Linked DNA regions of Tribolium castaneum. The protein of the gene in region 3 purifies or fractionates together with the protein of the main gene of each other region. This does not show direct contact. Links are inferred from orthologs where the notes say so. Each region holds a gene or a part of one and is shown on either strand. Other genes may lie near its edges.

The links.
Region 1: the proteins of wmd (region 3) and Unr purify together in Homo sapiens (affinity purification with mass spectrometry; 3 studies listed by BioGRID and IntAct, counting the BioPlex papers as one, with this or other methods). This does not show direct contact. The link is inferred for Tribolium castaneum from reciprocal best matches to the Homo sapiens genes STRAP and CSDE1.
Region 2: the proteins of wmd (region 3) and SUZ domain-containing protein 1 purify together in Homo sapiens (co-immunoprecipitation; 3 studies listed by BioGRID and IntAct, counting the BioPlex papers as one, with this or other methods). This does not show direct contact. The link is inferred for Tribolium castaneum from reciprocal best matches to the Homo sapiens genes STRAP and SZRD1.
Region 4: the proteins of wmd (region 3) and probable ATP-dependent RNA helicase DDX20 purify together in Homo sapiens (affinity purification with mass spectrometry; 3 studies listed by BioGRID and IntAct, counting the BioPlex papers as one, with this or other methods). This does not show direct contact. The link is inferred for Tribolium castaneum from reciprocal best matches to the Homo sapiens genes STRAP and DDX20.

The regions. Positions count from the first base shown.
Region 1 is NC_087394.1:5,373,568-5,379,029, reverse strand, and holds the end of Unr (cold shock domain-containing protein E1), read right to left. Parts: intron 5,306-5,462; coding exon 5,097-5,305; intron 5,039-5,096; coding exon 4,460-5,038; intron 2,041-4,459; coding exon 1,872-2,040; 3' UTR 939-1,871; downstream 1-938. UniProt on the Homo sapiens protein: RNA-binding protein involved in translationally coupled mRNA turnover.
Region 2 is NC_087399.1:6,523,449-6,528,360, reverse strand, and holds SUZ domain-containing protein 1, read right to left. Parts: upstream 2,897-4,912; 5' UTR 2,833-2,896; coding exon 2,770-2,832; intron 2,645-2,769; coding exon 2,586-2,644; intron 2,539-2,585; coding exon 2,302-2,538; intron 2,257-2,301; coding exon 2,154-2,256; 3' UTR 1,825-2,153; downstream 1-1,824. Other genes in the region: glycoprotein-N-acetylgalactosamine 3-beta-galactosyltransferase 1, read right to left, coding at 198-550, 678-709; dnaJ homolog subfamily C member 28, read right to left, coding at 2,915-3,658, 3,703-3,795, 3,843-3,974, 4,021-4,104; Trp1 (translocation protein SEC62), read left to right, coding at 4,518-4,553.
Region 3 is NC_087399.1:1,128,345-1,133,988, forward strand, and holds wmd (serine-threonine kinase receptor-associated protein), read right to left. Parts: upstream 2,999-5,644; 5' UTR 2,883-2,998; coding exon 2,768-2,882; intron 2,701-2,767; coding exon 2,410-2,700; intron 2,345-2,409; coding exon 2,220-2,344; intron 1,846-2,219; coding exon 1,393-1,845; 3' UTR 1,243-1,392; downstream 1-1,242. Other genes in the region: ENGase (cytosolic endo-beta-N-acetylglucosaminidase), read right to left, coding at 1-660, 709-718. UniProt on the Homo sapiens protein: The SMN complex catalyzes the assembly of small nuclear ribonucleoproteins (snRNPs), the building blocks of the spliceosome, and thereby plays an important role in the splicing of cellular pre-mRNAs.
Region 4 is NC_087394.1:23,206,023-23,211,999, reverse strand, and holds the start of probable ATP-dependent RNA helicase DDX20, read left to right. Parts: upstream 1-2,040; 5' UTR 2,041-2,133; coding exon 2,134-2,320; intron 2,321-2,367; coding exon 2,368-2,541; intron 2,542-5,713; coding exon 5,714-5,977. Other genes in the region: Aps (diphosphoinositol polyphosphate phosphohydrolase 2), read left to right, coding at 1,322-1,516.

The DNA.
Region 1 (5,462 bases), on a different chromosome or scaffold from region 3:
TTACAGATTTTTATACCCTTAAATACACCTTATATTATTAAAAAAAAATGTATTTTCAAGTTAAATAATAGGTAGAGAAAGCAAGAAAGCAAATCGTTCGTAAGAATTGTTTAAATAAGTCATTTTTGGGTCAAGTGAAACATCAATTAAAAATTTAACTTGAACTAGTGCACTAATTGTTTGGAAAAAATTCATAAATGCAGTCTTATACTTATAATCTATAGGCTGAGAAATACTGACGATTAAAATTTTCTCCAGAAAGATTAAAAAAAAATTCAAATTTGGGTTCCGTTCCATACTTTTTAAAAGGCTTTTCAAAAATACAAAAAAATATATGAAAGAATGTTCATGGGTTGGTTTCACCAACGATAAATCAATCGTCAGTTAATTATTTAACCAATAATTTTCATTTACTTGTTAAAAAAATTGTTTTCTCAATCTGTTACTAATTAATTATTAGAACTCTCAATACTTGCGTACATTGTGTAATGTACAATATAAGGACAAAAAGCATTCAAGATGAAAAGCGAAAAACGTGGAGAGACCGTAATTATTCGGTCTGTTACATGTTCTTTTGAGGCACTATTTTGTTAAAAAAAAATTATGAAATTTAATTTGATGGACTGTTTTCTTCCTCTCAAAGTGTGAACCTAAAACTATCAATGATTATCAAAAAATGATAAAAATGGACTGTGGTGTAAATACTAATTAGTTAAATTTTCATATTTCTCGATGTTTTAAGAAAAAAATACAACTTTGAAAAAGTTAGGGAAGCTTACAAATATGTATGAACACTAAAGAACAATATTTAAAAAATTGAAGGCACCGAAGGACAAAGCCTTTTAATGAAGAAATTATAACAATAATTACAAAGAGCGTTTAACGTTTTTTTAGTAGATCAAATAAGGAAATAAAAAGGTTACTAATAAAACACCGAAAAAGTTGTAAAAACTTTGTTTTAAGGAAAATAGCGAAACGATTTATGAAATCATCTCCTAATTGATTCGTATAGAAAGAAGAGAGGGTTTTTACGCCTTTTGCAAAAATGGCAAGTGGTGCAATTAATTGCAAGGATTTGTGCCTAATAAAAAGCGTTGTCTTAATAGTATTACTTAGTATATTTCCTTTGAAATTAAAACAATAATTTACAAATAGAAAGATAATCCACATTTAATATTGTAGTTAATTTGAAAAACTGCATCACAGTACCCACATCAACATTTGTAAAAAAAAAGTCACATTCAAGTGTTTAAAAAATAAAAAAACAACTGAAAAAAATTGCGCAAAATTTAGGCACTATAATCAAGAGGAAACTACTTTGGTAAATAAGTAAATAACGAGGCTTGTGATTATCACAGAAGAAAAGCGAGAAGAGACACACCAACTATGTAGATCCATTACAAATACGGGATGTTGCGGGTACTGCAGAGACTGCAAACTAACATTACACCTAAATGGAGTCTAAATAAAAGTTACAAAAGGTCTTATAATGTAGAGTTTACTTATCGATGCAGTCTTCTCTAGATCATAATCTAATACCTTAACTCTGTATCCTAATAATAAATTCATTGTATTCATATTTGTCAATGGATTATCAACTTTTTTTTTAATTTTTTTTTGGTTTGTAAGCAGTGTTTTAAGCACAGTAAAACTGCGAACGACTTTGTTCAATTCAACATAGCTACGACTAATATTGGTGTGTAATACAACCGAAAAGGTTTTCCTTGCCCTAGTTTACCATAACAATTTTGCAATTTGTCAATAATTTAATAACCATACGTAATAGACATTTTAGCCAACTCCACTGCTAAGACAAGAGTAAGTTAGTTGCTACGGTAGTATGACATGAATGAGAATGACTTAACCACTTGCTATTCGACGACGATTCCTGGCAGACGTACGATACGTGCCTCGGATGAGAAACCTTTGGAGCCATCGGGGCCTTTCGGTTGACGCAAAACCGTCAATTTGGGGCCCGCATCGTCCACAGACACGGTACGCAGACGGCTGATTAACCGCTCTGGACGCGCTTGCACATCGCTGAAACAAAAACAAAAAACTACCGTCAAAATCCATAACAAATTATTAACAGAAAAAAAATGAAACATATTTTTGCGAAAACAGCAGATTTTTGCATTTTCTGACATTCTCAGCAAGAACTAGAACCAAAAATTTCAAAACTAATATTAATTTAGCTTCACTGGCGTATTAAACCCGTTCTGTTAGAAACGCAATTTCGTCAATTTCTCAAAAATAAACCGGAAAATATTGTAATTAAAAATAAAGCTCTAAACTCGCTAAACCGAACAAAAATCTAAGTCGCAAATTTGTATGTGTTTTTCAAAAAATTTAACAAAATTTTACAGCCAGAAACGTAATTATTTGGCGATTTTTTTCAAAAATTAAGCTAAGAAACTCACGAAGCCATTTTGTACGTTTTTGAGATAAAGAGCACGTTTTTTGGAAAGTTTCGTCAAAATTATATCGGAAAACCACCGTATTGGTCGAAATTTTCAAGCATCTAACACAAAAAATTTCGCAAATCTGTGTCAAAAATTACTCAAAAAACGTTAAATTGGACCAAAATTGTTATTTATGCCTTATCCAATCGCCTAAAGATGTTAGGCTAAAAAAATATTTTAAACCATTTTCTCGTAAGCTCAAAATTATCAAACGTAAACTAAGAAATGGTTTAATTAGGCCTTTTTCGAGTGCTTTAAGGCAGTTTTAAGTTACAAACAAACTCGCTATATTGCGTCAAAATGACCAAAAAAATCACTAAATTGAGTGGAAAATTACAATATTGTAGATTTTTTAAAAATTCCATCGATTTTAACACATTTTACAGCCACAAATTTCTTAAAAAAAAACATTTAGGCAAGATTTTGCAAAATAAGAATTTAAAAATTACAAAATGTAGTCAACAATGACAACCAGAAACGCAATTATTTCATAAAATTTTGTCAAAAGTAAACCGGAAAATTAGTAGATCAGGCTTAAAGTAATATAATCTCGCAATTTTCCAATTTTTAAGGCACTAGGACAAAAACTTGATGGATTTCGCAAAATTGGGGAAAAAATCACTAAATTGTGCCGAAAATTACAGTTTGGTGCCAGAAACGTAATTACATTGCGAAATTTTTTACAAACAAAACCACAAAAAAAAATAGTTCAAAAATGAAACACTGTTTTTGTAGTTTTTGAGTATTCAAACAAATTTTAAGTACAAAATATTTCCACAAAATTGTACTGAAGAAGAGCTCAAACATGGCATTATTTCGTAGTTTTTGTGTTTTATTGGAAAGCTAATCACTCAGAAATGTGGTTATTACGCGAAATTTCTCAAAAATAAACCAAAATCAAGCCTCAAATAGTGTAACTTTCGCCTTTTCTAAGCATTTCAAAACAAATTAATTCTAGAAAGTCGATAATTTTGCAAAATTGGACAGGAAAAACACCAAACTAAGTCAAAAATTTGCAAATTAATGTGCAAAATGCACAATGAAACTATAGATTCTTCGAACATTATAAATTCTTTAAGAACATTTTTTGACTAAAAACGCATTGCTTTTAGTTTTTTAGTTCGAAAACGACATTATTTCCAATTTTTCCCAGAAACGCATAAATTTCATAAAAACTCATCAAAATTACGTCGTAAAGTAGCTGCATTTTTGTGCTTTTTTGAGTGTCATTTTGTCAAAAATAAACTGGAAAATTTACTTTTATTATTTTTTTCAGTTAAAAAAAGATAATTTTGCCATTTGTTTACGTTGTATAAGCGGTTTTTTTTTATCCATAGACGCAACAATTTTCCAAAATTTTGGCAAAATCAAGACCAAAAAATCGCAGAAGTGGTTAATAATGATGCTGTAACTGACACATAAGACACATTCAATAATTTAGCAAAATTTTCGTAATCTTTCTGAAAACTAAAGCCGGAAAATGGCCGGAACAGGCATTTTAAAAACATTTCACAACCAGAAACGTAATTGTTAAGCGAAAGAAAAAAAGTACCAAGATTGTTTTTGGTAAAAAAAACACCATTTTTTTAGCATTTTGATAAATAATGCTAAATTGAATAGAAATTGGCAAACTGTTAACTGTTACTTTTTCGAGTACATTTTACGGCCAGCAGCACAATTTTTGACATTTTTTGACAATTTTATAATAATTTGCCCTTTCACGCAGAAACGGGTTTTTTCGCATAATTTTGTCAAAATTAAATCAAAAAATTACAGAATACATCAAAAATAATGCTATCGTTTTCAGTCACACTCAACTCCATCAAAAATTAACACAAAAACAAAATTTGGTTACAAGTGAACCAAGAATTTACCAAATTAAGTTCAATTTCACTGTTTTTTGTATAATTCCAAATAAAAAAATAAATAACGATATTTTGCTCTCCAACGTACGTATTACAATTTAATTAATAATTACCCAAAAAATTAAAACTCACCTGACTTTCACCACACTACAAGCCGACGACTTTCCACTCCTATGATTGGTCACAAGCACAAACTCGACAGTATCGCCAACTTGTAAATTAACATTATCCTTAACTTCCGTCATGTGGAAGAACAACTTTTTGCCCTCTTCCACTTCATAAGCCAAAAAACCGAAATGACCTTTGATTGCATCTACCGTTGCTCGTAGTTTCTTTCGTACAGCAACAATGTTGGCAGCCCTGCCTGTTGAATCCACTTGTAATTGTACATGGTCACCCACTTGTAACAATTCGCGTTTATTGACAAGTCCCATTATTCCAAACTCATATTCCAGTGCTTTCTCTTCGGGATCTTCCGTTTTTATTCGAATAAGTCCGGAGTATTCCGTTTGATCGGGATTTACCGAACGTAAAGGACGGACTACTGTTCCGTCCAAAACATCGCCAATGACAGGCGGTAGATTTATCGTACCTTTCGGAATAATTTTAACGTTTTCGGCTGAAGAACACGTGCCCGAATTGCCGCGACTACCCAAATTGTATTCAACTTCTTGGCCCAGTTCAAGACTGTTGGGCTCGCCTTCGAAATTACTACGAAAAAATACATACAATTATTATCAAAAGCTACAATGGGAATCTAAAAGCTCACCTAAAATGGAAAAAGACTTCTTTATCATGTTGAGTAGTTTCGATGAATCCAAAACCGTCTTTCAACGCTGCTATGAAACCTTGGTATATTTGACAATTGTTGCTAGTTCTATGTTTAATTCCGTTGGTTTGTGTAGCGGGTTGCACCACTTGAATGTCAACTGCTATTAATTCTTTGTTTCTCTTCACCTGATTTACGTTAAATTCGACCTAAAACAAACGAAATTCCACTTTGATTGTTTTTTTTTATTTCATTTTATTCGAAAAATTTGGGATGAACAGAATACTCAATTAATAAAATGTGAACTAAAATGAATTATTTTTTGCACATTTCGTTCGATTTCGAAAAACCCACTAAAAAATTTCG
Region 2 (4,912 bases), about 5.4 Mb from region 3:
TAATTACAGTTTTAAATCTTTAAATAATTCTGCGTTTGTTAAGACACAAAAAATTTAAAATGCAACATCTGGATTTCCAATTAATAAACCAACAGATCAATTAGACACTCAAAGGGGGCCACGGTACAGTTGTCACCCCTGAATCACAGCCCACTCCCACGCATACTGATTACCAATCAACTTCCGTTTCCTCTAACCTTTTTGCGAACTCATGAATATCAACTTGTTGCACCTCTTGCCCCACGTGGCCTTGACATGTCTTGCCCTCTTCTCGTGGTTGCTAGGCCCCGTCATAATCCAGCACAAGATCCTCACTTTCTTGAACATCAAATCGGCAACAGTACTATTCTCCATCTGGTGGAACTCTTCATCGTGTCGGTGAACCCCCGGATCGATCGAGGGCCCCGACGCAGACTCCATCTCCTGACTCGTGTGGGGATCCCCCAAAGCCACCAGCAGAATCGCCGGCGAGAGAATCACATAGGCGGTCACAAACCCCACCACGACACCCGACAAGAGGGCCACCAGAAATTGCTTGTTTACGTTCGACCTGAAAATATTTACCCCCCTTATCTCGGTGTCCACTAATTAACAAAACAACCAATTCTTAATTACGATTTAATTTAATATTTTGTAAACAAACGTTTCATATTACAAGGGGTGTTTACTTAACTTACCATTTATGTAGCCCTAACCTTATGTAACTCATAATGAGACCGTTGTAGGAATCACGTCAGGAACATGTTGTTTTGCATTTTGAGTTAATTTAATTCGATTTAATCCGTGGATTTAATACAAATTATTGTTTATCACAAAAGAAATCATAAACACATCCAACTTCGCGTCCCACCATTTTGACACTGCGCAGGGGCACCAACCCACTTCTGTGTTTACTTTTTACTCATTTTACAAGTCTATTGCCTTGAATTCGAACAGTTTCGCCTGATCTTGATATTTATTTTAAAATTTAAATGTGAAAATTGGGCAAAACTAGGCTATTTCAAATAAATAACTTGGAACAATCGTGAGGCAAAGGTACAGCCACTCAAAAAGAAAATGACCCGTTCCACATATGGTTGTCGTTTTTTGAAATGTTTAAGAATTTTTTATTGGTATATTGGTTGGTTTGGACCAATCTTATAGAAGTTTACATTTTGGCGAAATTAAAAAAAATTATATCTTCCTTATTATCAAAGTTACACGTTTGAATCAAAGACAGTACAAGACACTTTTTTACAAAAATTGTAACAATATGAATATTTTTTTACTGTTTGTTTAGCTGCAATAATTTTAAGTTGTATTTTTTATTTTTCTTAATGAAAATCGTAGGCGGCCGTGAAATTTTTGAAGCTGGTTTTTTATTTATGTCTACTTATGTAATATATAATTTTTAAATATTCTTAAAAACCGCAATATTTTGCATTTTTTGCAAAAAGTATTGGATTTTCAATTAGAACTGTTTTTTGGAAATAAAAACTTTTAACTTTAAGCATTAAATAAGGTACCTTATTCAATGCTTTAAGCCACTTCTTTGCTTTGAGATTTTCGAACTCAACCATGTCATAATTAATTATTAATTACCAGAATTCTTTTATTTCAATTATTTTACAACAAAACCTTTGACTTAAAGAAAGCATATTGAACAGCACTCCCAACATACTTATTGTAAAAATTAAATTTTAAATAAAAATTTAATGTTCATTAATTTCGCCTGATTTTTGTATTTTTTCAATACTCAAGTGTGAAAATTCATGCAAAATTATTAGTTTAAAACTTAAAGAAGTTCAAGGGTTGGTGATTTGGGGTTGTAGATCAGTGTGTTACTGAAAATATTACGTAATATATTTAAGAATTGCACAACCACAATAAATATAACTTAACGTTACTAATATACATGAGCAAAATTAACTGCAACTCTGACGTGGTTTGATTATAATAAAATTATCTTACAATAATATTTACACATAAAAAAGGGATGCAAATCTGCGTCATGGTACGACATCCAGCACAAAACCACTGAATAGAGCAATGTTTGTGTTTGAAAAAAATCTGAGACTTGCAAGGCATTTTGTGCTTAAATCCACATATCAAGTTATATCACTTGGGTTGGTTGATGATATGTGATTTAAATAAACGTAAAAATGCACACTGTACTATCTACGTATGTTGAACCCTTTGCTCCCGTCTGGTCCTTTTGGCAACCGAATTACATTATCTAAGTCACTTGAGCGCGCCTTGCACGCCACTATACTAATCCTGAAACCACAAAATGAGCAAAAATCGGCCACAACCCACCCGTACTTCTCCTCTTCAGTTTTTTCAGTCTCTCCTAAAATCCTAAGTCTGGCCTCTGCATACTCCTGCTTCCTCTGCTGCAGCGTCTTTTTCGGCTGGAATACTTTCGAGTCGTTGGTGTTCTGCGGCTCCTTCGAGGGCCGCTTCAGGATTTTCACTGTGGGTTCCGGAGGCACGTACTGGGTCCTTAAGGCGTCGTCCCCCGTCAGTAAAATTTTAATCGGCACCGAACTAAGCCCGTTACTGCAACAGAAACATATATTCGGGGCATCCCCAGACCGCGGTGTCACCTTTTGGGCTCCAAGGACTTGCTCGGCGGAATAATTGACTTAAACTTCTGGTCTAACACCTGAAATCACACGGTTAGTGGGGATAACCTCAATTAGGCATGGGGGTGCAAAAGGCAAAAGGGGCTCTAGTGGGGGCTGGGGGCGGTTTTGGGGGAAAAATGGGTGCAAATGTGGGGGTTATTACATCAGTCTCTTCGATTTCTTCCCAACTTTCTAATACCTCCACTTCTTGTTGCTTGGAAGCCATGTTTTTGGTCTTGTCAGATTTGGGGATTTGGGGTTTGGGACCAAAGTCACTAACACGACCTTGAAATTCAAATTTATTAAGACTATTTTTTGAATAAAGAATCGATTATTCCGAAGATGTTCTCGGTCACAGGGGGGCCACTTTCGTCCGTGTTCTGCGGCAAGTCTTTTAGCTTGACGCTGTGTTGCCCATTTGCTAGAATTCTCTCGGCTTCCTTCGCTAAACTAATCTGAATCATCTGCTTGTTCAAAATTGGGACGACCAAATTAAACTTATCAATTTTTTTATTAATCAATTCGACTGTATTTCTACGGTTTTGTACAATTCTAGCCCAATCGTCACTGTCTTTACCACTTAGGGGACAAGGGCCCAAATACGAGCGCTTTTCTCGTAAAAAATTCCTCAATTCTTGAATTTCTTCCCTTATTTCCTTCTGTAGCGTAATCCATTCAGGTGTGAACCCGTTATCTATTAAAACCTCGTTTAGTTTATGGGTCACAAAGTCAACGTAAGGGTTGCGGTTTTGGTGACTTGGAAGAGGTTTTCCAGAGCCGGATAAATTGCTAAATTCGCCCCGAGACATCGATTCCTGAATCAAGTCCTCAACGAGACGCTCTAGTCCATATTTGGTCTTAATGTTGTGCTTCAAGGGGGCCTTGGCCAGGAGAGCCCCTTCCTCGGCGGAAACTTTGGACATTCGGTGCTTCAAAACGTTGTCAGCTGCATGTTGGGCCCGGATTCTAGTGTACTGTTTTTGCCTCTGAAAGGGATTTCCAACCCCGACACCGTCGTAACTCAAGTATTGCCGGTGTTGGGGGGCTGTGTGCTAAAACTAACAATCAAAAAAAAAATCGTTTAAATCAGTCATACTTTAATGTCCTGCTCTTGCACTTGAATTTCGTCATCGACTTGCCACCGCTCGCGCGATTTCTTATCAGTTAGGACGCGAAACGCCTTATCAATCTGAAAAAATGGCTCAGAAAAATAAAAAAATGGGTCAAAAATTTTACTTGTGAAAATTTCTCCGCATCAGCTTCTTTGGTACCACTATCGGGGTGGTACCGCTTGACAAGGTTCAAGTAAGCGGCTCGGATTTGTTCCTGCTCACTGTTTTCGGAAATACCCAAAATTTTGAAACATTTCTGAAGAAAAAAGTTCAAAAAACGTAGCAAAAAAACATTGCTCTACCTTGTATTCTAATAATTTGGCAAAACTGCTGTAATTCGTGTAGAAGACGGTGATTGTGGGTCGTTCAATTCGTAGAAGGGCCATTCTGTAAAATTTTCCAAAATTTATGCAAATACTGGATATGACAAAAAACAGATCAATGTAATTGTAATTTCAAGCCCGGCGTTAAGAATGTTTAATAAAAACATGGGTTAAAAATTAAAATGTAACCAACCAGTGAAAATAATTAGGGCCTTTTATTAAAAAAAGTTTTTGAAAATTGGCGCAAACACCGGGTATGTCGGAACCAGTGGTACCACAATTCCTAATTGTGCTTAGTGGTGCAATTTCGGGGGAAATAAACACAAATCAGTGTTTAATCTCGCAAATTGCGCTATTTCGTCGTCAAATCGAGCGAGAAGTTCGTCCCGATCGCATAATTAGTCCACGTAAGCCGCTTAACTGTAAAATTTTTAGAAGCACTGACGTCAACAACGTAGCCTGTCAAAATCGTCAAAATGGCGGAGAAGAAGAAAGGAAAGAAACGTAAAGAGGTAAATTTGACTTGTTTTCGCGCAAATTCCGTTGTTTCCCCCTTATTGTCGCCCATAACCCGCGTCCAGTGATGAGTTAATTGGTAAAGTGCCGGGCTGGTGTTTTATTGGTTAGTTGTCATAAGGGGGCTTTCGGTCGTGTTGTTCCGTGCAATTAGGTGACGTTGCGCTATTTTCCCGTTTTTATTGCCTGATCTCGTGAAGAACAATGCGGAAATTTCCCCCGACGTCACAATTCGAAAAACCCGTTTTCACAAGTGACGCGTCGACGAATCGTTCGTAACTTTAAGAAATTCACAGACCTGAGTCAGTCGTGCGGTAATCGCCGCTTTTTCCCCATAAAATCCTGTTCTTTTCGA
Region 3 (5,644 bases):
TGATTAAATGGTCGGGGTTTTGGGTGTGCGTTTGCACCCCTAAGTAGGCAACGAATTTTTTCAACATTTCGGTGTCTTGGAGCGAGTTTTCGATGTTGAGGAGCCACCCGTCGAATTGGAAAATTTTCAAAATTTGGGTCAAAGAAGTTGCGAAAATTCGCATCGTGTCCTCGTCTTTGAAAATCTTCTCGCAAATTTTTTTCCCCGGCTCGAATTCTGTTATCAAAGTTCCAAGAATTTTCACGCCGTTTTGATGCGCGGCATTTATCCAACACAAAGGTGGGATTGTGATTAGGTGGTGACTGAAGTAAACGAAAATATCGATGTGTTGCCAATTATAAAACGAGTACAAATTCCCGATGTTGCTACTTGACAAAAACCTGTCTTCCAAATAGCCACCTTTGTAGTCATGGCACACTAAAGTTTTGGGAACAAATCTCTTATCGAGACGCGTTCGTGGACCGAATTTTTTCGCATCGCAATGACAATCCGAAATTATGTTTTGCACTACTGTGGGGCTGCGCTCGGTCAAGGGCGCGACTCGGCTCACCCACTGGGGCGGGTTTTCGATCACTTCGGAGATGTTGTCCAATGATGTGATTGGAAAACACTCGAATTGGTTTAGTTTGAGTTTTTTCATGGCAGGGGGGCCGTCACTTTCTACAAAGAGATTTGAGACAACTGGAGGCGAAAAATGAGTCTTGTTACCAGTACTCATTATCGGTAATTGTAGGACGGCGGGAAACGGAAGCTGATAATGCGGGAAAAATTATTTCCGCATCCGGGGCCCCTGAAATAGCATCATAACCCAATTCTTATTTTTTTTTTTTTGAATGACATAACCTCACTTTTTATCTTATTGTGATTACGCAGTTTTTATCGTACCATAGCGGTAATAAATTGGAGCTTGTAATTTATAAAGGTTTTTTTGCCTCTTACCGTTTTTAATTATGTGGAAAATGGGGGAAAAACAAGAGGTATAACCTCACTTTTTTTGTGGATTTTTTTTTCACATTTCTTTATTATTTATTAGCCAAGATCACTGAATGTAGCAATCGGGCCATTTCACTTCGTACTTATCAGTTTTATCACCTAGTGTTTTCCCATTGATCGACTGATTAAGGCCAGAACCTAACCTCGCTTTTTGCGATTCTTTGGTGCTTTTTCCTTGATTTGGGTCAACCGGTTTGTTTACAAATAACCCGCTTTCAATGTCAGGAATTTGGGACAAAAACTCGCCAATTTTCGTGATTATTTATTAAATATTCAAACAAATAGTAACATAAATAAATCAGTTTTCCGTCGCTTTTTCGTCTTCTGTTCACCTAATCGTGAAAGAACTACGAGTTACTTGGATTTGAGGAAGGAGGAGAAAACAAATTCGTCAAACAGCTAAATCGCGGGTACTTCTTTGGGTGACGTAATCGCGTCGTTGTTGATTTGGGGCCCGTCAACGCATTTCCAAAGTCCATAAGTCTTGCCAATTGTGGTTTGCCAAAGTCTTAAAGTGCCGTCTTCTGACCCGGAAGCGTACAATTCACCGTCGGGCGAGAATTTGACACAATGGACGGGGCCAAAGTGGCCCTTGAACGATTCGATTTCATTTCCAGTTGTGTAATCGAATTTGTAGACTTTCAAATCATCGCCACCGGCGACGAAAATCGTTTTGTCGGGGTGTAGCGAAGCCGAATTGACTGTCGTAGGAACGGAAAATTCTCTAATTTTGTTTAGAGATTCGGAGTCGAGGAATGTGACGTGATTTGAGTGGGTTACTGTGAGCACGGTGCCGTCTCTGGACACCTCAAGGCTGTTCGGAATCGACGGGAAGTCCATTTTCTGGACTTCCTGCAAAAAACTGTCTAGTATAATTATGATCAAGAGCGAAAGTTTTTAGACGGCCGGTCGTAGTAGGGCGACATCTTGCGGAATTTAATTTGTCAAAGTGACATTTACATTGTCAAAGTTGACAATTTTGCAAATTTGTTTTTTTATTTTTATAACGGCAATAACCTAGTAAATATTTGGAAACATGTATCATTTATCCCTTTCGAATGAAAAATCGTCTGATTAAAGCGGAAATTACATAATTTTGTTTTTTTTTCAAACGTTTTTTCTAAGTGTTTGAATTTGAAGTAGATTTAACTCGAATCTGGTCAATATTTTTTAAAGTAGCGACCGTCCGTCTAGAACAAAATTGACGTGGTTCGAGATTTGGTTACCTTTCCGGAACTCCGGTCCCAAACCCTCAAAGTCTTATCGTCCGCACACGAGACAAGATGCGTGTCATTCCTGAAAAAGATCACGTGTCTTATCCCGGAAGTGTGCCCCGTAAACTCCTCGGGTTCTGAAACAATAAATCAAATCGTTCCGATCAGAAAAGGAGCCAAGGCGAATGCGAGGCCACCTTACTCGCTTCGGGTTTATTCAGATCGAAAATTCGGACAATTTTTTCGTTGCTCCCCGTCGCCAATAAGGCACTGTCTTTGGAAAAGTTGACGCTTTTGACGATGTGTTTATGCTGGAAGGAGTGCAGTTCCTCGCCGGAGTTGGCGTCCCAGACCTTGCCGGTGAAGTCGGCGGCGCCGCTGGCGGCCTTGGTGGCGTCCTTGTTGAGCGCGACGCCCCAAACCGCCCCCTTGTGGCCCTCGAAGGTGCCGATCCAGTCGCCGGTGTCCCCTTGCCTTAGCATGGGTTTGCCGTCTGAAAGCGGCCTCGTACGGTGAATCCAGGCCAAGGTAAATGTCGCCGAAGGTAAAGTTTAACTTACCTTTGCATGCCGAAATTAGGAAATAGCCGTATTTTGTCACCGAACTGAAGTCGAGATGGACGACGGGACGAGTGTGGCCGCTACAGGTTAAGGGGGTTTGACGAAGATTTGCCATAGTTTTCTATTTTATTAGGTCAAACGGTACAAAAAAATTATACTAAAAACCTACACACCACACTAACACGAGGAGTTCAGAAAGCGAACTGAATTTGACAGCGTCAACAACAGCTGGGAAAGTGGCAATAAGGGACGCATGCGCGGGTGTATAATTGGTTACCTACCAATCACAAAAAAATTCATAACTCGGAAACTAAAAGTCGTAGAGCAATGCGGTTTGTTCCATTGAATTCAGCGGTTCATTTTCTGTATTATACCAACTTTTCATGAGATTTAAAATTTTCAATTTTTTTGCTCAAATTTCCTGAGTTATATTATAATACACTACTTACCTTCAAAGAGATGAAAAAAAAATTTTTTTAAACTGACTTCAGCAAATTTTTATGGACTTCTACATGTCTTAACAACCCACTAAAGTTGTTAAAGGTCCACAAAAAGTCCATATGTTCAATTTTTTGATGTTTGATTTTTTCAATTATCGTTGCAGTTTTTGTCGGTTTTGGGTACCCGGAACATTTCTCGAGCAATAGCTCCGGAACTATTAGAGATAACCCCATGAAGTGTATTATCGTTGGAAAGCTCTTTAAATTATCTTTTTTTTTCAAAAAAGATTATTCTTCTCCGACTAATAGTTTTCGAGAAAATTGCTGTTAAATGCAAAAATTGGTAAAATTTTAAAAAATTCATAACTAAAAAACTATTGGGAATTTGGCAATTTTCTCGATGCCAATTGATTCCCCGGATCATTTTGCATAGGTGTGGATCAAAACAGTTCCACTTTTTACAATAGTGTTTAGCCGTAAATGAGAAAATAAAAAAATTAAAAAAAAAGTTAACACCCCCCCCCAAAATCGGCCAATTTTTAAAGTGTCTCAAAATCAAAGGAAACCCATTCTGTCTTATAGATTTTGATGTGCTCTTTACGATCGAACAAACCGTTTTCTTCTAGCTCTTTTAGTTTGGCCGTAATCGGCGTTTGAAAATTGAAAAATTATTTGCGAGATATCGCCTTAAGTCCTATGCCATTTTGTAGAGTTTTTTATTCCGGTTATCCTCCATTTTTCCGTTTCTCGATATCTTTAATAGTTTCGCCGTAATTGACGATTGAAAATTGAAAAAAAGTGAAAACGGAAACCTTTTTTTGCGTTTTTCTCGGAAACTGTAAGACTTAGAGCAACGAACAAAAAACCATCTGATAGCGCTTAATTTTGTCTATTTTTTCGACCAAACCCGGAGCCGCTCCGGGCAACGGTTCCGGCTACAGAGGCGATCAAAGTTTTTCACTAAAAAAATTCATAAAAAAAAATTAAAAGTCGTAGAGCATTGCGGTTTATTCGATTGAATTCTACGGCTCATTTTACATATTATATCGATTTTTCACAAGAATTAAAAATTTAAAAATTTTTGCCTAAATTTAGGATAGCCATTTGTCATAGTGAAAAATTTTATTCATTAAAAAAATTCATAACTCGAAAACTAAAAGTCGTAGAGCAGTGCGGTTTGTTCTATTGGATTCAGCGGCTTTTTTTCTTTATTATACTAATTTTTCACGCAATTTAAAATTTTCATTTTTTTTGCTCAAATTTCCTGAGTAAAACACTACTTACCTTCAAAGAGATGAAAAAAAAATTTTTTAAACTCACTCCAGCAAATTTTTATGGACTTCTATATGTCTTAACAACCCACTAAAGTTGTTAAAAGTCTACAAAAAGTCCATATGTTCAATTTTGTGATGTTTGATTTTTTCAATTTTCGTCGCAGTTTTTGTCGGTTTTGGGTACCCGGAACATTTCTCGAGCAATAGCTTCAGAACTATTAGAGATAACGCCATGAAGTGTATTATCGTTGGAAAGCTCTTTGAATTATCAATTTTTTTCGAAAAAGACTATTTTTCTCCGACTAATAGTTTTCGAGAAAATTGCAGATAAATGCAAAAATTGGTAAAATTTTAAAAAATTCATAACTAAAAAACTGTTGGGAATTTGGCAATTTTCTCGATGCCAATCGATTCCCAGGATCATTTTGCCTGGGTAAGGATCATAATAGTTCCACTTTTTCAAATAGTATTGCCGTAATTTATTTTACTTTTAATTTGAAAAATGGTGGAGGCGCCGAGTTATTTTTCAAAAATTCATAACCCAAAAACTAAAAGTCGTAGAGCAATGCGGTTTGTTCCATTGGATTCAGCGGCTCATTTTCTGTATTATACCAACTTTTTACGAGATCTAACATTTTAAAATTTTTTGCTAAAAATTAAGATAATCATTTCCTATAGTGGAAAATTTTATTCAACAAAAAAATTCATAATTCAAAAACTAAAAGTCGTAGAGCAATGCGGTTTGTTCCATTGGATTCAGCGGTTCATTTTCTGTATTATACCAACTTTTAACGATATTTAAAATTTTCAATTTTTTTTGTTTAAAATTTTGATATTCAAGGCTTTTGCCTTCATAAAAATGAAAAAAAAAAAACATAAAATCTAAAATCGCCATCGCAAATATGTAGTTAGGAAATCATCAAGTAGTTTCCTTGGGGGAAAGTGTACGACTCTGGAATAAGAAAGAGCAAAAAAAGGAAGCGGTTATTACATACTCAAAAGCAAAAGCTTGATGGGGGAGCTAAACGGATTACATAAAACCGGAAACGCTATAGGGGAACTACAAATAAAGATTTACAGCCGAGTCACAATTCAGAGGATAAAATCCTTTCATATAATAATCGCTGTATGAATAAGTTATGGTGGGAAAAAGAAATCTTAAA
Region 4 (5,977 bases), on a different chromosome or scaffold from region 3:
TTTGGTTCTATCACCGATTAAAAATATTTTAAGAAATTAGGAGAAAAAAACTTCCATTTTACTTCTCAATAATACTGCTTAGAATTATTGAGAGGGATTTTTTTTATTACAGTAATACCTCATTAGTTTGAAACTTTTGGAAACTGAATAATTATTATTTAGTAATTTGAAGTGATCCGTTTTTATTCTTTGCAAGTTTCAACTTCTTTTAAATTGCTTCAGAAACGCTTAGTTATTGTAGCAACGTTTTCTTTGTATACCATAAAGTTTTACAACAGGTAATGGTGTTTAAGATAAGCAACACTCACAATCAGATATTTTGACAAGGGTGACTCAAAAATATTTACGATACCGATTGGTTCGTCTCAAAGACTATAGATTGTCTCCAATAAATCACAATAAGCGTGCCTAGTTTCGTTCCCGGTTGAACTTCATCAAGATTGCAACAGAAAATGAGGACAATTACATTATTGCAATAAAATTATGGATTGTCTTTTCTTTCTATGGCGATCCTGATAATGTTAATAGGGAACGAAACTAGTCGATTGAAACACTTTTATTTGTCCTGTGCCTTTAATTGGATTAATTTTCATTATAATTATTTCAATTTTTTAATTATGTTTTATTGATATTTTATTTTTTATACTTATGTACTTATTAAAACTTCCACGTCTGTTTCTTCAAATTATAAATATAATTACTATTGTTGTTACTTGTTTATACGTATTACATAAATAAAATTTAAAAATGCACAAAAGTTCTACATACTTCAAGTATACTCAATAATCCGATTTTTTGACAGTCCAAATCTTTACGTCTGAAACCTTGGTTTTATTGACTTTGGATAAACAAGGTATTACTATATTTTTCTAATGTTTGTTGGAACGTGTGCTATAGCGTACTGAAGACTTTACGCGCCAATTTGTACATAGCCTGTATTTTTTTATAATTTGAAAACGAATTAAACTTTAATAATTGGGAACTAAACTGATTTGAATTTATTTGTCATTATACTTTGCATGGATAATATGGTTAAATTAATTAGAACTATTTTTTTCATTTTTTATCCACTTTCAAATTCCAACAAAAAACACTTTAAACCACGCAAAACCCCACAATTAAAGTCAAAGCTAGTATTTATCACCACATACTCTCCCTAATGTAAGAAATTGACAATGTTCACTCAAAATTGCAAAAAATTCATTAAATGGGGGATTACGATAATTTCGGTACTGTTTCGAGAGAGCGTGTAGTAGTTAATTTAATTTTATTTTTTTAGTTTAAGAAAGTGTCCGATTCTACTGAACGTTCTTTTTTTCAGAATTTAGAACACAAAGACAGGACTGAAGTGTATGTCATGACAGTAACTGAAGAATTAGACGAATGGGAAGACTCAAAGACCATAGGAAGGAAGCGACAGTGGTTCACGATAGAAGAGGCTCTAGAACAGCTCGCGCTGCATAAACCGGTGCAACGCAATTACCTCCAACAGTTACGACGCTCGAAACTAACATGAGATTTGTTTTATTATTAAAAACACTGTTACTGTCAAACATGTGCTTGAGGTTTTATGGGTTTATTTATTAAAGAAAATTCGACTATATGTAAGATATTGAATTCGATTTTTTCGTAGTTTTCTGCAACAATAATGCTCTCGGTTTTAGTGAGGTATTGTTCTTTTTACGCCGTTCTGTTTACAAAATTCATTTAAATTTAAGACTATTATAGTACTTTCTTATTGTTTTGTTGCCTTTTGTTATAACCTGAATATCAGAACAATAAAATGTTACTTAATACCGACTCATTTTAGTCATTTCGAAACTGGCGCCATCATTTCGATCCCAACACCACGTCGGCATTACAGGAATCATCTTCAACAAATCAGTCTTTATCTGTTTCAGAGACGTTTTTTACCAATTTTAAATACAAAATGATGAATTCTAGCAACTAAAAGTAGCACAATTATTTACATAACAAAGCTTGATAGTTTTACTAAAAATTAAAATATTTTAGTACGTGTACGGTTACAGATTTCTGTAACACATCAAACGATCACGAAACGTCAAATTTTTGTTTTTTGAGGTTATAAAATTATGTTAGTTTTATGGTTAGACAGTTTTAATTTATTTAATAATGCAGCCAACCATTGCTCACGATTTAGATGCAAAAGAGCGCACAAAAGACGTAATTCTCGACGAAAACATCAGTTTTGCGTCATTACTACTCCCCGACGACATAAAACAGGGGCTCTCGGTTAGTGGTTTCAAAAAACCGTCTCCAATTCAGTTCAAAGCCATTCCCCTAGGACGATGCGGTTTTGGTACGTTTGTCACTTTTGTCAGGACTAGAACTAATCGAAAATTGTAGATTTAATTGTGAAGTCCAAGTCCGGGACCGGCAAAACTTTAGTGTTCTCAACAATTGCTCTTGAGACTGTTAATACGGCCAAAGACCATTTACAAGTCTTAATTTTGGTCCCGACGCGGGAAATAGCTGTGCAAATTGAAGACGTTCTGCGCAGCGTGGGCTGTCACGTAAATGGTTTTTATTTTTTTTTTTTGTAAAAGAACATACAATCAAACAAAATGAAAATGATGCGTCCATAAACGAACGTTTACGGTGCCACACCAAATTCTTGACCACAACCAACCCCTGTAATAAATCATTAGAGATCGTCAACTAGTTTTGAATGTTGTTCTACATTTTGAAATGTTGAAGAATTCCTTGTTGTAAATGGTTGGCTAGGACAAACATGAAATAATAGTTACTTCCTCAAAGTACGAAAACACATTATTTGAACACGAGTGAGGTGTAACGCTACGCTTCTCCTCCTCTTTCTGCTCCTCTTCGATCGGTAAAATCTCCTTACCGTTCTTGAAACTTAAATAACTATAATACTTATGCGACTAAAATTTGCCGAATAACAAACGTGATAAAACACGGATTCTTATTTCATTTATATTAAATTATTATCATTGCGAATTAATGAACAGAGTTGAAGGTTAATTAAATTTTTACTATATTTGGGGAGTGCTGTTTAATATGTTTTCGTAAACTAAAAGGTTTTGTTGCAAAAATAAAATTACGTGACAATTAAAAAACTGTTTTATTTCACTATCTTTTGCGGTGTAATCGGTGTAGTATTTTTCATTAAAGACTTTGACCGCGAAATGATCACTGCTCAAAAATATTTTAAATTAAAATAATAATTATTTTTAAAATTTCATTGTTACAAACTGTAACTAAAAATTTTATTGTCTTTATACATAGTTTATTTCTTAACGATATAAAACTTACTGAATCGTTGTGCATAAAACAAGATAAAACAAAAATGTAGTAATCTAATAAAATTGTATTTTAAATTTTACAGGTAAAGACGTCTGTCTATACTTTTCATCGTTTCAATTATTAATTGCACAATCGGTTTTATTAACATTTTTGTTTATTAAATGTTTCAAAAACTTGGTATGACTGGAATAAAAGTAATCAATGGACGTTAGGGTAATTCATTTATGGAAATACCCTGATTAAAATTTTGACCATTTAGGTCCAAATAAGGTTCATTAGAAAAATTTAAGAATACCTAACACCATAGGAGATAAGGTGAGACCAAAATTTTCCAATTTTTCTTAAAATCGATAAACATTAATTTATTAATTTTTTTTAAAACAAACGAAAAATAAAAAAAATCAAGTTCGTTACATCAGGTTTTAAGAGGTCAAAAAAAAATTGTATTACTTAGTTAATGCCAAATAAGTTTGTGTCGATTTAAAAAACATTTTAATTTTAATTCGAATTAACTTTACCTTTTTGTCATTGAATTTTAAATGGCAACTTGATGTCGGACTTTAAGCCACTTATTTGCTTCGAGATTTTCGAACTCAATCGTGTCTTAATTATAACTAAGTATTATTTACTACAATTTTTTTATTTCCGAAAATAATTTGTTTTTTTAAGTGAACCACAAAACATCCAACTAATTTATTTATTTTTAGTGACAAAACATGGCAACGAATCTGAAAATTTTTTTAGTTCTCATTTGTTTTTTAAGAAAATTAATAAATGTTTATCAGTTGTAAGTTCATTGAACCACTAGTTTACGATCTCTAATAATTTATGGTAGGGGTTGGTTGGTTGGTTGTGGTCAAGGGATCGGGGGTGGTTATGGACGCGTTTTATTTTTATTTTGTTCGACTATACAGGGTGCTGCATTTTGGATGTCCAAATAGGATCTTCGAAACTATAAGAGGTTTAGACTAAAACGAGTGACACATTCTCAGGTCCAATTTTTGAGAAATAATTTTGGTCAAAACCGCTTTCCGCGGTTGTTTTCGACTTATAAATAAAAGTTGCCATTTTAGCAAAATCCTAAAAACCCCATATCTTTTTTATTATAAAAGATACACATTTAAGACACACATTATGCAGAGAATATAACAATGTTATCAGCGTTTTTTTTAATTATTTGTTTAACTGTAACAACATAAAATTGAATTTTTTAAATAGGAATCATAGTTGGCTATGACATTTTCGAAAAAATTTTTTTTTCTGAACTGAAAACAATATAAATACAGTTTGATATTTCTATATACTTTTAATAAAAAACATATTGAAAGCAGTTGGCCATGGAAAAATTATTTCACATATAAGCTGTGAATAATCTAGAAATTTTGTGAACGGTTATTAAAGTAAAAAATTTGAAATTATCAAAATAAGTTATGTTAAAGTTATTTTCAATAGAACAAATATACGATCGTCGCAGATTTTAATTACATAAAAAATGTTCAGAAAACTGAAAACGATGTGTCACTACTATTTAATAACACTTTCTTATGATTTAGTGAAGTGCAATGGCGATGACGTTGATAATGTTATGTATTTTTTACTACAAAAGAGTAAAATATTTTGTAAAATAAATATTGACAGGCAATACGATTAATAAGATTTTTCTTTTTTCCACATTTCATGTTTAATTAAGAAATAGAATGACAATTTTAGCTTGCCATTTTAAATCTAAAAACAAATAATTTTTCTTAATCGCAAAAATTTGTTCTAATAATAATTTATTATGCTGTTTTTGAATTAATTAGTGTTTAAAAAATCATTAAATTATAAATACTTGTTGGGTAATATATTTTTTCATAGTTTTTATTGAAAATCGAAATTTTTTTCATGGCCTACCATAAAGAAAAAGCGAAATGTTATGTTTTCCTTAATATTTAAAAATAATGTATTACATAAATAGATATATCAAATCAGAACAAAATAAGCTTTTAAAAAATACTGCAGCCGCCTATGATTCTTATTTAAAAAAAAATAAAACTTTTTGTTATTACAGTTGAACGAAATATAAAAAAAATCGCTGACAACATTATTAAATTCTCTCTCTGTAAAACGTGACTTTGTTATAATAATATGTGAAGTCTTTGTTTTAAATAAGTATCTTTTATAATAAGGAAGATATGAATGTTTTAATATTCCACTAAAATGACAACTTTTTCGAAAGTCGAAAATAAAAGACTATAACAGGATGCGATTTTGGGTAAAATAATTCTCTCAAAAAACGGAGCCGCGAATGTGACTCGTTTTTCTTTAAATCTTTTACTTTCGGAGTTCTCCTAGTCGGACATCCAAAATGCAGCACCCTGTATATATCACGGCTGTCTTGATACACGTTATTCATTGAATAATTTGATTAATTGGCACGTTTTAGGCCTCAAAATCGAGAGTTTCATCGGTGGGAGGCCCCTCGAAGACGACTTGAAGAAATCGTCCAAGTGTCACATCGCAGTGGGGGCCCCCGGCCGAGTCAAACACTTGCTAAAAATGGGGGCCCTCACTACAAACCTCGTCAAACTATTCGTCCTCGACGAAGCCGATAAATTAATGGAGGAGAGTTTCCAGTCTGATATTAACGAAATTTACAACAGTCTGCCCCCTCGCAAACAAATGATAGTATCGAGCGCCACCTACCCAC